Callithrix jacchus: one gene and its partners. The protein of the gene in region 1 binds, or shares a complex with, the protein of each later gene. Links are inferred from orthologs where the notes say so. Each region holds a gene or a part of one and is shown in the gene's direction. Other genes may lie near its edges.

Evidence for each region.
Region 2: TERT (region 1) and GAR1 share a complex: the UniProt entries of both Homo sapiens proteins name them as parts of the telomerase holoenzyme complex. The link is inferred for Callithrix jacchus from reciprocal best matches to the Homo sapiens genes TERT and GAR1.
Region 3: TERT (region 1) and WRAP53 share a complex: the UniProt entries of both Homo sapiens proteins name them as parts of the telomerase holoenzyme complex. The link is inferred for Callithrix jacchus from reciprocal best matches to the Homo sapiens genes TERT and WRAP53.

What each region holds. Positions count from the first base shown.
Region 1 is NC_133503.1:204,792,484-204,798,438, forward strand, and holds the start of TERT (telomerase reverse transcriptase), read left to right. Parts: upstream 1-2,155; 5' UTR 2,156-2,244; coding exon 2,245-2,463; intron 2,464-2,558; coding exon 2,559-3,879; intron 3,880-5,955. UniProt on the Homo sapiens protein: Telomerase is a ribonucleoprotein enzyme essential for the replication of chromosome termini in most eukaryotes. Active in progenitor and cancer cells. Inactive, or very low activity, in normal somatic cells.
Region 2 is NC_133504.1:87,423,381-87,428,486, reverse strand, and holds the end of GAR1 (H/ACA ribonucleoprotein complex subunit 1), read left to right. Parts: intron 1-67; exon of another isoform or gene 68-190; intron 191-1,341; coding exon 1,342-1,483; intron 1,484-2,866; coding exon 2,867-2,938; intron 2,939-3,327; coding exon 3,328-3,341; 3' UTR 3,342-3,645; downstream 3,646-5,106. UniProt on the Homo sapiens protein: Required for ribosome biogenesis and telomere maintenance. Part of the H/ACA small nucleolar ribonucleoprotein (H/ACA snoRNP) complex, which catalyzes pseudouridylation of rRNA.
Region 3 is NC_133506.1:74,174,455-74,180,431, forward strand, and holds the start of WRAP53 (telomerase Cajal body protein 1), read left to right. Parts: upstream 1-2,355; 5' UTR 2,356-2,690; coding exon 2,691-3,121; intron 3,122-3,258; coding exon 3,259-3,357; intron 3,358-3,936; coding exon 3,937-4,048; intron 4,049-5,977. UniProt on the Homo sapiens protein: RNA chaperone that plays a key role in telomere maintenance and RNA localization to Cajal bodies. Specifically recognizes and binds the Cajal body box (CAB box) present in both small Cajal body RNAs (scaRNAs) and telomerase RNA template component (TERC).

The sequences.
Region 1 (5,955 bases):
GTGTGAGCCACTGCACACAGCCCAGAATCCACTCTGTTTAGAAATATCTGGGTCTGAAAGAGGAAGCTCACCCCACTCAAGTGTTGTGGGGTTTTAAGCCAATGATAGAATCTGTTTATCTGTTTTTCTTAGAACATTCTTTTTTTTTTTTTTTTTTTTGAGACAGTCTTGCTCCTTCGCCAGGCGCCAGGCTGGAGTGCAGCGGTGCAATCTTGACTCACTGCAATTCTTGGGTTCAAACCATTCTCCTGCCTCAGCTTCCCAGGTAGCTAGCTGGGACTATAGGTGAGCGCCACCACATCCAGCTAATTTTTGTATTTTTAGTACAGACAGGGTTTCACCATGTTGGCCAGTATGGTCTCCATCTCTTGACCTCGTGATCCGCCCACCTCGGCCTCCCAAAGTGCTGGGATTACAGGCAGAGCCACCGGGCCGGCCTCTTAGAACATTCTTAATGTTTTCCGTTGTGATGACTGAGACAGCATCAGCTTTTCAAAGATAGACCAACTGCACCCATAATACTGGGGCGTCTTCGATTTTCACTGAAAGCTGGGAGACCTCTCCTCCTCCTGGACGTGGTGTCAGTCACTCCAGTGTAATCTTCCGCCTGAGTTTCTTCTATTCCCTCTTTTAAAATTAGGTTTTCTGTGTTGGTTTCTCTGGGGGAACCAGAGTAAGCTACAACTTAACTTTTGTTGGAACGAATTTTCCACATCAGCCCCTTTGCCCGAGTCCAGTGACAATTCACAAACACAGCCCTTTAAAAAGACTTTGGATTCACTAAGGGGATTTCTAGAAGAGCAACCTGTAATCCTAAGTATTTACAAGGTGAGGCGAACCCCTAGCGAGTGTGATGGCTCAGGGAGGGCGCGAGGCCTGTTCAAATGCTAGGCCCATAAATAAAGCAATTTCCGCCCACACTCTCGGAAAGTAGGAAAGGTTACATTGAAGGTTGCATCTGTTAGCATTTCAGTGTTTGCCGACCTCAGCTACACGCTCCCCGCAAAGCCTCTGGAGACCCAGAAGTTTCTTACCTCCTAGATGCAAACTTGAGCAGCCGGAGTTGGGGCTCGGGGAAGTCCTCGGCTGTGCCCGGGCCCTGGGTCTGCAGGGGCCCAGCGGCTGCGTGGCTTCCTCAGCTGGGCTGGAGGTCGGGCCTTCTGGTTCAGCGGTCCGAGGCTGTAGCCAGGTGCCCGGACCCCCGAGGCTGCCCTCCTCCCTCTGCGGGTGGGAGTGACCGGAGTTTGGCCTCAGCTGGTGGACACCGCGCCAGGGCCCAGGGTAAAGGCAGCTGCGGCAGGTGTGAGGCCCCCAGTGCCGGGCCAGAGGAGCACCTGACTGCATGTCCCACCCTTCCTCGACGCGACGGCCCGGTGGGTGAACAGATCTGAGGTGGTTTGCTCATGGTGGGGACCCCTCGCGGCCTAAGAACCTGCAAAGAGAAAAGGAGACCAAGTCGCGGGGAAGTACTGCCCGTGGGCAGGGAGGCGCTCCGAGAGCCCCGCGTGCCCGTCCCGGGAGCGCTGTGCCCTGGGGGTCGTCCCCAGCCGCGTCTACGCGCTTCGGTCCTCCCCCGGAGCCCTGCATTCCCAGGGCCGGGAGCCCGCCGCCCTGCTTCTTCCCGACGTTCCCCGTCCGGACCGGGGGACAGCCCTGGCTCTAGGGGTCGGGCCCATCTGGGAAAGCCATGAAGTGAGCGCCCCACGCACCTGTGCCCAGGGCCACCGCCCCTCCCTCGGGTTACCCCGCGCTTGGGCTGACGTCACCCCTCTCTGCGGGGCCCTCGCTGGGGTCGCTGCACCCTGCGAGCGGCGGCGGCGCGCGGGCGGGAAGCGCGTCCCAGACCCCCGGGTCCGCACGGAGCAGCTGCGCGGTCGAGGCCAGGCCAGGCCGGGATCCCGGTGGATTCGGGGGCGCAGACGCCCGGGACTGCGCTGCCCACGTGGCGGAGGGAGAGGGACCCAGGCTTCCTAAACCCGGCCCGCCCCCGCCCTCACCTAGCTCCGCCGACTCCGCGCGGACCCCGCCCCCGTCCCCGTCCCGACCCCTCCCCGTCCCCGGTCCCCGGCCCCGCCCCCTCCGGCCCTCTCCGCCCCCTCCCCTCCAGCCCCGCCCCTCACTCTCCGGCCCCGCCCCTTCCTCTCCGCGGTCCCGCCTTCTCTTGGGGCGCAGGTTGGAGGCTGACCGCGCCGCGTCTTGCTGCGCACGTGGGACGCCGCGCTCCGGCCCTTGCAGTCCACCGCGATGCCGCGCGCGCCACGCTGCCGAGCCGTGCGCTCCCTGCTGCGCAGCCGCTACCGCGAGGTGCTGCCGCTGGCCACGTTTGTGCGGCGCCTGGGGCCCGAGGGCCGGCGGCTCGTGCAGCGCGGGGACCCGGCGGCTTTTCGCGCGCTGGTGGCGCAGTGCCTGGTGTGCGTGCCCTGGGACGCACGGCCGCCCCCCGCCGCCCCATCCTTCCACCAGGTGGGGTACCCGGGGTCCGCGTCCGGCGCGGGGGTGGGAGCGGAGCGGCGCGCGCACCCCCGGCGGGCGACTCAGGGCGCTTCCCCCGCCCGCAGGTGTCCCCCCTGAAGGAGCTGGTGGCCCGGGTGCTGCAGAGGCTTTGCGAGCGTGGCGCGAGGAACGTGCTGGCCTTCGGCTTCGCGCTGCTGGATGGCGCCGGCGGCGGCCCCCCCGAGGCCTTCACCACCAGCGTGCGCAGCTACCGGCCCAACACGGTGACCGAGACGCTGCGCGGCAGCGGGGCGTGGGCGCTGCTGCTGCGCCGCCTGGGCGACGACGTGCTGGTTTACCTGCTGGCGCACTGCGCGCTCTACGTGCTGGTGGCTCCCAGCTGCGCCTACCAGGTGTGCGGGCCGCCGCTGTACGAGCTCCGCACTGCGCCCGAGCCCCGGCCCGCGCCACACGCGGCTGGGACGCGAAGGGGCCTGGGACGCAAACGGGCCTGGAGCAGCAGCGTCAAGGAGCCCGGGGTCCGCCTGGGCCTGCCAGCCCCGGGTGAGAGAAGGCGCCGGGGCAGCGCCAGCGTAAGTCCACCGTGGCCCAAGAGGCCCAGGTGTGGGCCTGCCCTGGAGCCGGAGCGGACGCCTGTGGGGCAGGGATCTCGGGCGCACCCCGGCAGGACACGTGGACCGAGTGGCCACGGTTTCTGCGTGGTATCACCTGTGGGAGCAGCCGAGGAAGCCCCTGGCGCATGCCACTCGTACCCATCAGCGGGCCACCAGCCCGGGGCGGGGCCCCCATCCAAATCGCGGTCACCGCAGCCCCGGGACACGCCATGTCCCCTGGTCTATGCCGAGACCAAGCACTTCCTCTACTCTTCGGGTGCCCAGGAGCGGCTTCGGCCCTCCTTCCTACTCAGCGCCCTGCGCCCCAGCCTGACGGGCGCCCGCAGGCTCCTGGACACCATCTTTCTGGGTTCGAGGCCAGGGACGCCCCGCAGGCTGCCCCGCCTGCCCCAGCGCTACTGGCAGATGCGGCCCCTGTTTCTGGAGCTGCTCAGGAACCACGCGCGGTGCCCCTACGGGGCGCTCCTCAAGACACACTGCCCACTGCGGACTGCGGTCACCCCGGCGGCCCGTGTCTGTGCCCAGGAGCCCCTGGGTTCTGTGGCAGCCCCCGAGGAGGAGGACACAGACCCTCGTCGCCTGGTGCAGCTGCTCCGCCAGCACAGCAGCCCCTGGCAGGTGTACAGCTTCCTGCGGGCCTGCCTTCGCCGGCTGGTGCCTCCCGGCCTCTGGGGCTCCAGGCACAACGAGCGTCGCTTCCTCAGGAACACCAAGAAGTTCATCTCTCTGGGGAAGCATGCCAAGCTCTCGCTGCAGGAGCTGACCTGGAAGATGAGCGTGCGTGACTGCGCTTGGCTGCGCAGGAGCCCAGGTGAGGAGAGGGTGGCCGTCGAGGTCCCAGGCCCCAGAGCTTAATGCAGAAGGGGTTCAGAAAAGAGGGCAGGCAGAGCCCTGGTCCTCTGGTCTGCATCACGTGGGCACACGTGGCTTCTTGCTCAGGACGTCAGTGGACGTGGTGATCTCTGCCTCTGCGCTCTCTCTCCCGTCCAGTTTGCATAAAGCTATGAGGTTCGCCTTCAGGTTTTTTATGGACGTGCAGTTTCCAGGCGCTGAGGCCAGAGCAGTGAACAGACGGGGCGGGGCGTGCTGTGGAGCTGGGGTGCTCACAAGGTGGGGAAGCGGGTGGAAGCACAGACACTCTTGGCAGAGTGCCTGCAGGTTACCTATAATCCCCTTCACGATTTCAAGGATAGGAATGGGAGTTGAGGACAAAAACTCCCTCTTCCTGGGGTGGGAGGGAAGGGTTTTGCAGGTGCACATGGTCAGCCAATATGCAGGTTTGTATTTAAGATTTAATTGTGTTGGTGGCTCACATCTGTTATCCCAGTACTTTCGGAGGCAGAGGCAGGTGGATCACCTGAGGTCAGGAGTTCGAGACCAGCCTGGCCAACATGGCGAACGCCCATCTCTACTAAAAATGCAAAAACCAATTGGGCACGGTGGCGTGTGCCTGTAATCCCAGCTACTCAGGAGGCTGAGGCAGAAGAATCACTTTAACCCGGGAGGTTGCAGTGAGCTGAAATGGTGCCATTGCACTCCATCCTGGGTGACAAGAGTGAAACTGTCTCAAAAACAAAACAAAAAAATGGTGCATTGATTCTGCCAGGACAGAGTAGAGGGAGGGAGATAAAGAAGGCTGTCCTCCAGCACAGGTCCTGGTCCTGTCTGTAGGAGTGAAGAAGGCCACGTGGGAGCAGAGGACAGCAGATGGCTCCTGCTCAGGGAAGGGACGGTGCTGTGGGTGTTCGGGGGACAGTGCTGCTGGGTCCTGCCGTGTCCCCGCTCTGTTTTTCTGGGTTTGATGTGGAGGCACCTCTGCTGCACCCCCCTGTTGGCTCCCAGCACTCCCAGGCCTTGCAGTGGCAGCCGGAACAGGCCCTCCTCCTCACAAAATCCCAAGACATCGAAGACTTCCGGAAGTAGGGCCCTGGCAGAGACCATGTCTGCAGAGCCGTCCGCCCATGCTGGCTTCTCATTAGAGTCGCCTGTGGTGGGGGCTTTCATTCCTGGTCCCGTTCAGGAAGACCCTCGTGGCAGCGGCCTGTGCACCTGTTCTGCCAGCACCGCGGCGGGTGCGTAGCTTCCTGTGGCTGAGCCGCTGTTCAGGTTCCCTTAGGGTCCCGGGACTGGCTGGAGGAGGGTGACCACTTTCCTGGGGCTCTTTTTTATGATGGCAAAAATCATACAATGTGAGATTGGCCCTCCTAGCACGATCTTCCGTGTACAGTGCAGAATTGCTAACTTGGCCTAGTGTCTACAACAGGTCACTCAAACTGCTACGTCTTGCATGACTGAAGTCCCTAACCTGTTGAACAGCAGTTGCCTGCCACGTGCTGTGGCTCCGGTGGCCACACCGAGTCGGATAAGCAGTCGTGCCACCCGTTCTAGCTTCCTTCGAGGGAGGAGAGTTTGAGTGCTCTGATCAGGAATCTGCCTGCCATCATTGCTGTTCTCTGATTTTAGATGAGGTCACAATCTGCCCCTGGCTTGTGCAGGGAGTGAGGCTCTGTCCCAGGTGTCCCTGTCGTGTGTGGGTGAGTTTTGGTCCTGGGTGTCCTTGGCTTTTGCTCTCTTGTGCTATGCTTCTGTACATCTGCTGTTTCTGTGGCCACAGCCACGCCAGTCGCCTGGATAAATGGTGCAGGCACCGGGCCGGTCCCCAAGCCTATCTTTTCTCGTCCTGGGCTCTTCTTGGTCACTTCCTCCTTCCATGTTGCTGCCGGGACACAGGACTCTGCAGGTTCTCACTTCCCCCCTGCTTCAGGTCTGGCTTGCTTCTGTCTGACCTGGCTTGCTTCTGTCTGACCTGGCTTGCCCACCCCTGTGGCCACCCCCGTTCCTGCCACACACTTGCTGCCAGTATTCCTCTCCCAGCTCGCCCCGTGCC
Region 2 (5,106 bases), on another chromosome or scaffold:
ATTTAGTTTTTTCGGTTTTTGTTTTTTAACTACAGGTATTAACTTGAGTACATTCTACCTCTCCCAGTTTCCATACCCCCTGCTATGTTGAGATTCAGCCCTCCTTACCCAGCCTGCGTTATTACGAAGTCTGTAGACCAGTGCCCTCTACTTGAACTTTCTGCAGTGATGGAAATCCCTGCCCAGTAAGGTAGCTCTTAGTGACATGTAGCTTTTGAGCACCTGAAGTGTGGCTCATGTAACTCAGGAACTGAATTTTTAATAATTAAATATAAGTAGCCACCTGTGGCTCATGGCTACCACATGGAACAGTGTAGATCTAGATAATATTTTGAGATGATGGGCTATGAAGGGAAGATGAATAATAAGGTGATAGCTAGAGAGGGATTCAGGTATCTTATTCTAAGTAATGTATCACAGTTTTGAAATCCTCATGTGTTTTGTGTAGAAGAACTATGATACAATATGCCCTTTACATTTCATTATCTGAGAAATGTCCTCTTTAGCCCCAATTATGGGATGGGTATAGTTTCTCTATATCCTTCATTACTTTGTGTGTTCAGAAAATAGTTACCCTTTTGATCTTTATTAAAGGCTTGAAACAGCTAGTTTGTGAATGCTTTATTTTGAATTTTAATGCTATGTTTTTTATTTTATTCAAGATAATGCTATGTTTTATTTTTCTTAAGGCAGTTCTTTTGAGTGGAAATGTTAAACCTATTTCTAAAGAGAAATGAGATTGAATTGGTCTTGATTTTTTTATATGCATACAATGCTTATTGTGTGCCAAATTGCAAGTGCCTTATATAGGTCACTTTTGATCATCACACAAACATGTGAGCTAGTTATGTATTCTCTACATTTTACAGATAAAAAAACTAAGGCAAACTGACACAGAAACAGAAAACCAAACACTGCATGTTCTCATTCATAAGTGGGAGTTGAACGATGAGAACACATGGACACATGGTGGGGAACATCACACACCCGGGCATGTTGGGGGGTGGGGGGCAAGGAGAGGGAGAGCACTGGGACAAATACCCAATGCATGCGGGCTTAAAACCTCGATGACAAGTGATAGGTGGAGCAAACCACCATGGCACATGTATACCTATGTAACAAACCTGCACATTCTGCACGTATATCCCAGAACTTAAAATTTAAAAAAAAAGATAAAAGAAAACTAAGGTAGTAAGAAATTAAGTGCTTACCCAGAGATACATTGTGGAAAGAATTAAATTGCAAAACGGAACCCAGTCAGTTTTGACTCTATCATGTAGCTTCTGAATTATTATACTGTCCCCCAAGTCATCACACTAATTGCTTCTATTATGTTTCCAGTTTTATATAGACCCATATAAGCTGCTGCCACTGCAGAGGTTTTTACCTCGACCTCCAGGTGAGAAAGGACCTCCAAGAGGTGGTGGCAGGGGAGGCCGAGGAGGAGGACGAGGAGGAGGTGGCAGAGGTGGTGGCAGAGGTGGTAAGTTACTTGGGGAAAATTTCTGTTGAGATTTTAGAGTCACAGCTAAATTCATATAGTACAATTTAGTTTTGAACATAGCAAACCTCCCTTATGGTAAAGCTGCTTTCAAATATTGACAGATTGTCCATAATAATAATGCTTCATTTCAACAACTTAAACAGAAAAAAAAAAATCTACTGTAGTATACTTTTGAGGGACTTTATTTCTTTGGGTTATTCATGTTTTCTTGGGCATTTTAATAAACCATAAAATCATCTTAATTTTATTATCATTGAGTATAGACTGCATGCTGAAAGCTGGTCATACCTTCTTTTAATTTCTTTGTATATTCTTCTAATCTCAGTGAAACCTTTTGAGATAGATGATATTTTTGTTTTATGAATGAGGAAAACGGAGACTTACAGAAATTAATTTGCCCCCATCAAACAATTGGCAGACCCAGAATTAAAATGCATATCTTCTGATGTCATGTCAAGAACTATTACTAATAAGTTCATTGCTGTGATCTCACTGTTTCCCCAAGGTTTTGGCACATTCATCATTAATTGGCAGCTAGGTGATGAGCAGGGCTCTGGGGAGTGGGGCTGCCATGTCCTGTGAGTAGGGGGAGGGCCAAAGTGGAAAGGGGGAGGAGCTGAAAGTTGGGCTTTTGTTATTGGATCAGAAAAAGAGAAGGAACGATTCGCTTTTGCGTCTCTCAATTTAATCATCATTTCACTCCATAAATGTACTTGTTTGGGTCCATATAGGTAGCAAGGAATATCTTTAAAAAATATCAACATATTTCTCCAATATTTTCAGGGGTACCTTCTTGAGAATTTGATGAATAGAGATTCCCCTATTCTCATTTGAGTATCATTTAACATTTCAAAAAATTCACAACTATCTTATTTTTAAAAAATCTTACCTATGTAGCTCAATTAGCCTTAACTATCATATTTATTATCATGCCCCCAGAGCAAAAGCACCCATAGGTGCCACCCTTTGTTCTTAGGATAAAAAGCCTTCATTCCATCAAACTATCCTTCGTTGAATCAAAAAGTCTTTATCATAAGCAAGAACTAAGGTGATAATTGTACATTTAACAAGACTGAATTATACTTTAAAGTAGCAGGTTTTCTAATTTATTGAAATGGAATACTTGTTTAAAAGGAATCTAGGGTTTTAGCCTGTTGCCAAGTTGGTAAACTACAGTCCCTCCATTTTTATCTTCTAAAATTTTTTCCATGATAAAATATGTGAATATTCATTGTAATTATAGTTATTGTATTGATGTTTGTAGGCTTATCAGCATAAGAGGTTATATAGTTAATAACTGTTCATGTTTATTATTTATATTATTTAAATATTTTGCATTATTATTTAATACATGTTTTTTAGGTGGTTTTAGAGGTGGAAGAGGAGGTGGAGGTGGGGGCTTCCGAGGAGGAAGAGGGGGAGGTGGTTTCAGAGGTGAGTATCTTAAAAAGTCTTTAAATTGCTTGATTTTTAGAATTGATACTAAACAGGCATTTTCTGTTTTTGTTTCAGTTTATTTTTCTCTGCTAGCAAGTATGTAGCACACCGTGATGTTCTTTGCTTAGCCTAATTTGTGGCTTTATTTTATATCACTTTTTGTTTTGCCTTTTCCTTTCAATTTTTTTCACCTAATTCTAATTTGGTTTTGCTTAATTATTAATTTAAAAAATGAAAGTGTAATATGAATGACAGTTAAATTGGGTAAAATATGTTTGCTAAACATTATAGAAACTAATGCTGATTTTAAACTTGAGTTTTAGGTTATAATACTATTAAGAAATCCATTTTCTGTGCCCTTAATACTTCAATTTTCTCTTAATTAGGGAGAGGACATTAAGTGAAATGGTTGACAGACATCACCAGTTGACTTCTGCATAAACCTGTGTCATCTGTTTCTACTGTGGATTGGAAACTTGTTTCTTGAGCAAGTCTTGAAGATCTTGGTCGTTTTATGACAATGGATCTAAAATGTCAGCATTATGCCAAGTACAACGGAATAGTGAATTTTGCTCTAAAAGAGCATGAACAAATCTTTTTAATGTTTTGTATAGTGCCTGGCACTCTGTGGGTGCTTAATAAATGGACAGGAGTTTTCATTTGAAGCATATTTGAATTTTTAAAATAAAGTGTTTATTCCCTTATTTAGAGTGTGTTTATTAAAGAAACCCATTTTTTGAAGTAGAAAGGAACAACTAAAGCTTAAACCCAGTGAATTGCAGATTAAAAAAAGGTTTCTTTTCAATCCTTTTTGATTCTATTTGATCTTTGAAAAAATAGGCTACTAGAGCAGTACTTTATTTACAAATTAATACCCCCTTTCAAAACCCTGGCCTTTTACATATGAGAACATAGCTCTGTGTTTCCCTTTTGTGTTTTAATACATAAATCCGTTAAGCTGTTTCTCTAATTGCATTTAATTATTGATTTAAAAATTTTCCATATTAGCAATGTATTGAAGGTGGAGTAGCTCTGTTTAAGTGAAAACTGTAGTTCAAGAAATTTCTAAAGAAACGGTCAATTTTTCTCAGCCAACATAAATGGAATATTAAAGGTTTTATTGAATGTTATTTCACTTTTACTTTTTTAAAGGGACTCTAAAAGTTTAAGGTGTTATTTACTATACGTGAATATCGATTGCATACCACATGTTCAAATTGCTGGGTAATGATGTTAAAAATGAAATTGGTTTTGGTCACTGTTGCTAGTAGCGTGTAAAGAAATGACCATGGTAGCAAGTTACAATGCCATGATACGGAGCTATTTACCCTGCTATTCATTTTGCACTTCTCAGAAGGAGTGATGTTTCTACATCATTTGTTAAATTTTCTAACATGCTTAACCCTTGAATGCTCATTTGAGGAGCATACAGTGTTGTCTATGTCAGTATTTGGGATTTTATCTCTTTTTTTAATTGATAGAATTGTAGCAGGATTAATAAATACATAGGCCATTAATATATATGATGAGTGAATGTGTTGAAAATTACAGTTTTTACAGGAATAGGCAGTTATGCTTTTACAGCTTAGGAGATCATTTGATTTAGAATTGTGGTGATGAAATTTTCATGGAGTGTAGGGCCAGAGTTTTTGCTCTTGGTTTGGAAAAGAAGTTAGTGAGCATTAGAGGGTGATGGCATTGTCCCAAGGGCAAATAGTAATAGTGCAACATTTCTACAGTTTTTTTTTTAAACATTAAAAATAAATCTATAATGGCAATGTTGGATAAAATGTGATCAGTAGACAAACCACTTGCAGATTTCATCTTTTAGCTTATATATATATATCTTTTGGTCATTGGTCATTGGCCATCTTTAAGCTATTATTTCGACATCGTTTCCCTTTTTTTCCTTATAGTTTCTGGTTTTTTTTTTTTTTTTTTGGAGACAGAGTTTTGCTCTTTTTGCCCAGGCTAGAGTGCAATGGCATGATCTTGGCTCACTGCAACCTCTGCCTCCTGGGTTCAAGTGATTCTTCTGCCTCAGCCTCCTGAGTAGCTGGGATTACAGGCATCTGCCAACATGCCCAGCTAATTTTTATATTTTTGGTAGAGATGGGGTTTCTCCATATTGGTCAGGCTGGTTTCAAACTCCTGACCTCAGGTGA
Region 3 (5,977 bases), on another chromosome or scaffold:
CACCTCGATTTAGGAAAAAGATGACCTAAGTAAGCCACAAAATGCCCAGTATGCGGCAGGTGCATTGGAAGAAACTGCAGAATGAAACAACCACGTGCTAAGAGATGGAGAAGCGGAAGAAATAAATTCGAGTTCCGCCTCCCACCGGGAAGAACCGGCTGGGCCTGGAGGGCTGCACAGAGGACCACACGGACGACTGCGGGCCAGCCCCTTCCGCTTCACGACGTTCAGCCTGCGTCTGGAACTGGAATGGCCTAGCCCAAAGCCAGATAACAGGTAGATTGTTTTTCTGAGAAATTATAAATGACCCATCATTGTACTGTGTCAAAATATCATTCTCACATGTACCCATTTTTTTTTTTTTTTTTGTCTTCAGGAAGATGAGATGTACCCATTCTTGAAAATACCCCGGGTTTGCCTTCTGCGCATTTCTTGCCCTCCCTGTCTCATGCCATGGTAGCGCCCGCCCAGGTTGTAGGCGACGCGCGGGGTGGAGCACAGCATTCAAAGAAGGGGAGGGATTGAAGTTTGCATCAAAACAAATACCCCAGCCTTTGCAAAGGCCATGACCAAGTAATCCAGAAAAAAAAAGTGGGGCGGAGAATAGCAGCCTCTCTCTGCAAGTAATAGGAACCGCCCTAAAGGACATTTTCTCTCTCTCTCCTCCCCTCTCATCTGGTGAATAGTGAGCTGCTCCGGCAGAAGAAACCGGAAATGCTGCTACAGGCGGCAGAAATGTAAATGTGGAGGCAAACAATAACAGGGCTGCCGTGCCCCTCAGATTGGGACGGTCCTCCTTGGCCTGGTGGACGAACCCCTCGTTTAGCACTTTTCACTTCCACGGCTGACAGCCTTTAATTGGATTTTCTCCATCTGGCGGAGCCGGGGGCCGGCTGGAAAGATCGCTCCGGGAAGGACAAAGGTCCGGAAGTTGTGGGACCTTAGCAGCTTGGGTTCCCAGATCACCCCCAAAGATAATTTCGGAATGGAGCCCGAGGTTTCACTAGGATGCCATGGGTTCTAAAACATACAGCCATGAGTTCTCAATATTTGGAGATCCAAAAGTCTCCGACCTCAATGGTTTGTGCATCTTTTATTTCAGGGATTCCCTACGCCCAATACCGGGTGGATGTGCAAGGAAGTACCTTTTAGTCCGGCTCAAGGTTCCCCAAAGCCCCACTCCTCTGCCTAGGCGTTCAACTATGAGTTCGGATGGTCCTAACATCGCCATCATCTACACTCAGGTCTCCCAACACTGCACTCCTATGTTGACCCCTCCAGCCAAGCTTCCATCCCATTCACCTCCAAACTCGCTAAGTCCCCACTGCCCCACCCCCAGCCCCAGCGATTTTCCCGAGCTGAAAATACACGGAGCAGAGTCCGTGACTCAAAGGGGATTCATCAGGTTCAGTTAGGAGCTTACCCAGCCCTCAGGGAAGTGTGTCACTGTCGAAAGCACGCTCCGAGCCTAGACGCCAAGTGTTCCTGGAGCCCAGCAGCTACCTGCTCCCTGGAGGGTGGCTCTACACTTTTGAGACGCTCAAAACTTTTAGCGCCAGTCTGAGCACATGGGAGGGGAAAATCCCAATCCCATCAACCCTTGCGAGGCTCCTGGCACAAAGCTGGAGAGTCGCCATGACAAGTAAGGGCAAGTAATCCGCCTGCCAGAAGAAGTAAAGGAAATAGAGTCGGGGAGGAAGGTGCAGAGAGAGTCAGGGTTCTCGCCGAAATGGTGGTGCTGTAGATACTAATGTTTTGGAGTGGGAAAATTCTACAAGCCAGAGCTGTGAGGACAAAATTAGTGGAAACCATTTTGGAGGACTCCTGCACTGGGTTAAATATGAAGGGTTGAAGAAAGAAAGGTTTTGCGTTTGCTCTCAGCTGGATCCTTTCTTTTCATCAGCTAAAAAACGTCATTTTAAAAGAAGGCTTTCCTTAATACCTCAGGCTAACGTATTCTCCCAGATACTTTATATCACACCATCTTGTTTAATCTCCTTCACAGCCCTTATCACTCTGAAAAGATTTATTCGTTCATTGCTTTCAGTACATGGAAACGTAAGCCTTATGAGAATTTTTCTCCCATCTTATTCATTGCTGTATTTCCCAGTGCCTGTATCAGTGCTGGGGAGCAAGTAAGAGCTCGATAGTATTTTTTGAAAGAAGGGAGAGAGACAGGTCTAGAGCCTGGAGAATGAGATGCAAAAGAGATGCAAGACCTGCAGCGCCCTCTGCAGACGGCGGGTGGGACAGGTACTTTAAAAATTACCGCGGGAGCCGATAGGGGGAGTGCAGGCGCTTCTCGCCAAGACAGAAGCGTTCGGACTACAACTCCCAGCAGCTACGAGGAGCCCTAAGGCTTGATGGGAACGGGAAACTGTCTAACCTTTCACGTCCCGGCTCTGAGGGTTCCGAGGGTCGCCCGCGAAATCTGATCCGTGATGCGGCGGCCCACTTGGAAGGTGGGCCCAAATCCCGCGACTGCGAGAAGCGCCTAGCGACCCGCGGTGCCAGGGAACGCCGTGCTTTCAAAGTTGGCGTCCGCTGTTCGCCTCTCCTCCCTGGAGTCTTCTGCCTCCTCCCAGAAGAGGAAGGAAGCACAGGTGGGGTTTTTAAGTTCTGAGTCGGATTCCTGAGAACTTCGAGGCCATCCCGACTGAGGTTGATGTCCGCTGTGCTCCGTCTGCAGTATGAAGACTTTGGAGACGCAACCGTTAGCTCCGGACTGCTGTCCTTCAGACCAGGACCCAGCTGCAGCTCATCCTTCTCCTCACGCTTTCCCGATGGATAAAAATGCGGACCCTGAACTGATGCCACCGCCTTCTGAAAGGGACGATCCGCCCCGGTTGTCCCCATATCCCGTGGCTGGCTCCGCTGTGTCCCAGGAGCCAGGGGAGGGGGACCCAGTTTCTCTCTCCACTCCCCTGGAAACAGAGTTTGGTCCTCCTAGTGAAATGAGTCCTCGAATCGAGAAGCAAGAACTTTCTGAAAATGGAAGCCTTACTGCAGAAGAAGCAAACGGGAGCCTTTTTGAGGAAGAAGTGAACGGGCCAGGGTTGGGGTCTGGGAAAGCCATGGAAGATGCGTCTGGGGAACCCACTGCAGATGACGAGGGAGACCCGTAAGTGGTGATGGCAGTTGAGTGTGGAGTCCGGGGAGATGAGGTCGACCTATCCACTGGTCCTCAGACCCGCTTCTCCAGTCCCCTGCCCCATTTGCAGAAACGACCCACGTTTTTGTCCTCCATCTTCCTTTTAGCGCTTGGAACTACAGCTTCTCCCAGCTGCCTCGATTTCTCAGTGGTTCCTGGTCAGAGTTCAGCACTCAACCTGAGAACTTCTTGAAAGGCTGTAAATGGTAAGGATAATAACGGTGCAGGGATCTGACCACCCCCAGAATTTTCACTGTAAAACATGCCAGTTATCTAGGAGAAGGAAACACCAGAGCTGAAGAAGGGGCACGTAACTTTTTTACACTCAGCCTGATTTTTTTTTTTTTGGAGACAGAGTTTCACTCTTGTTGCCCAGGCTGCAGTGCAATGATGTGATCTCTGCTCACCACAGCCACAGCCTCTCGGGTTCAAGCGATTCTCCTGCCTCAGCCTCACAAGTAACTGGGATTGCAGGCATGTGCCACCATGCCCAGGTAATTTTGTATTTTTAGTAGAGATGGGGTTTCTCCATGTTAGTCAGGCTGGTCTCGAACTCCCGACCTCAGGTGATCCGCCAGCCTCAGCCTCCCAAAGTGCTGAGATTACAGGTGTGAACCACCATGCCTGGCCCTGAGCTTAAATTTTATCTAGCATTTTCTGTCTTTGTGTCTTCTGCTTCCCTCAAGGAGTCAGGGGGCTTACCTACCCCAGAGGTAGGTGCAGCCCTAGCCCTACACTTGAAAAGCGTAGATCTGGCCAGCTTTCTAACTCTCTCCTGTTTCTAGGGCCCCTGATGGTTCTTGCATCTTGACCAACAGTGCTGATAACATCTTGCGAATTTATAACCTGCCCCCAGAGCTGTACCATGAGGAGGAGCAGATGGAATATGCAGAAATGGTAAGGATAGGGCTAACTCTGCCCCTTTGTCAATGCTGCACATTTAAGTCCTTCATGGAGATGGAGAAAGTGTAGTCCAAATATTTCCTGTTTCCTGTTCACAAATAGGACTGTTTTTCAAGATGAGTTTCCACGGGTAGCATTTTCTGTCCGAATTCTGAAGTTATTTAGAGAGATGTTTCCCTTTTCTTTAATTAGGAATCTGGGTTTTTATTAAAAAGTATTGAATTTCTTGTGGCAGTATTTACAGATTTATTATTATTATTATTATTATTTTGAGACGGACTCTCACTCTGTTGCCCAGACTGGAGTGCAGTGGTGTGATTTCAGCTCACTGCAACCTCTGCCTCCCGGGTTCAAGCGATTATCTTGCCTCAGCCTCCTGAGTAGCTGGGATTACAACTGCACGCCACCACGCCCAGGTAATTTTTGTATTTTTAGTAGAGACAGGATTTCACCATATTAGCCAGAATGGTCTGGATCTCTTGACTTCATGATCCGCCCATCTTGGCCTCCCAAAGTGCTGGGATTACAGATGTGAGTCACTGCACCTGGCTTTTTATTATTATTACTGTTATTTTGAGATGGAGTCTTGCTCTGTAGCCCAGGCTAGAGTGCAGTGGCGCTGCCTCAGCTCACTGCAACGTCTGCTTCCTGGGTCCTGATTCAAGCAGTTCTCCTGCCTCAGCCTCCCCGGTAGCTGGGATTATAGGAACGTGCCACCATACCCAGCTAAATTTTGAATTTTTAGTAGAGATGGGGTTTCACCATGTTGGCCAGGCTAGTCTTGAACTCCTGACCTCATAATCCACCTGTCTCTGCCTCCCAAAGCTGGGATTACAGGCGTGAACCACTGTGCTGGGCATTACTTACTATTTTTTTGAGACAGAGTCTTGCTCTGTCACCCAGGCTGGAGTGCCGTGGTGACACCTCTGTGTTTAAATGAGTCTCCTGACTTAGGCCCCTGAGTAGCTGGGACAACAGGCATGCGTCACCACGTTTGACTTACTTTTGTAGTTTTAGTAGAGATGGGGTTTCACCATGTTGGCCAGGCTGGTCTCGAGCTTCTGACCTCAGATGATCCACCGCCTCAGCCTCCCAAAGTATGGGATTACAGGTGTGAGCCACTGTGCCCGGCCTATAGATATTTATTGATTGACTACTGATATGTGTTAGTCACTGTGCTGGGATAAAGTGGTGGACAAGACAGATGAAGGGCTGGTTTGCTTTCTGCGTGGGAGATAGACAACAAACAAGAGGAATTATCTTGTTGCTGATGCATGTGAACTAGCAAGCGTCAGGCACAAGATGATAATAAACGCTCTGAAGGAAAGAAACAGAATGAAGAGAGACTAACTAGAGGAACCCACGTTGCATGAAGTGGTCAGGAAGGAGCTCTTTGAAAAGGAGGCATTTGAGCCAAGCCCTGAAGGAGGATAAGGGGTCAGTCACATGAAGACTTTTGGAAAGAGCTTTCCAGGAACTGGCAATGATATTACAAACACCCAGAACTGTTCTTTTTTTTTTTTTTTTAGTTGAGTCTTGCTCTGTTGCCCAGGGTGGAGTGCAGTGGTGCATCTTGGTTAACTGCAGCCTCTGCCTCCTGTGTTTAAGTGATTCTCCTGCCTCGGCCTCCCGAATAGCTGGGACTACAGGCATGTGCCACCACGACCAGCTAATTTTTTGTATTTTTTTTTTCAAGATGGAGTTTCGCTTTTGTTGCCCAGGCTGGAGTGCAATGGTGCAATCTTGGTTCACTGCAACCTCCACCTCCTGGGTTCAAGTGATTCTCCTGCCTCAGCATCCCAAGTAGCTGGAATTACAGGCATGTACTACCATGCCTGCTAATTTTGTATTTTTATTAGAGATGGGGTTTCTCCATGTTGGTCAGGCTGGTCTTGAACTCCCAACCTCAGGTGATCCGTCTGC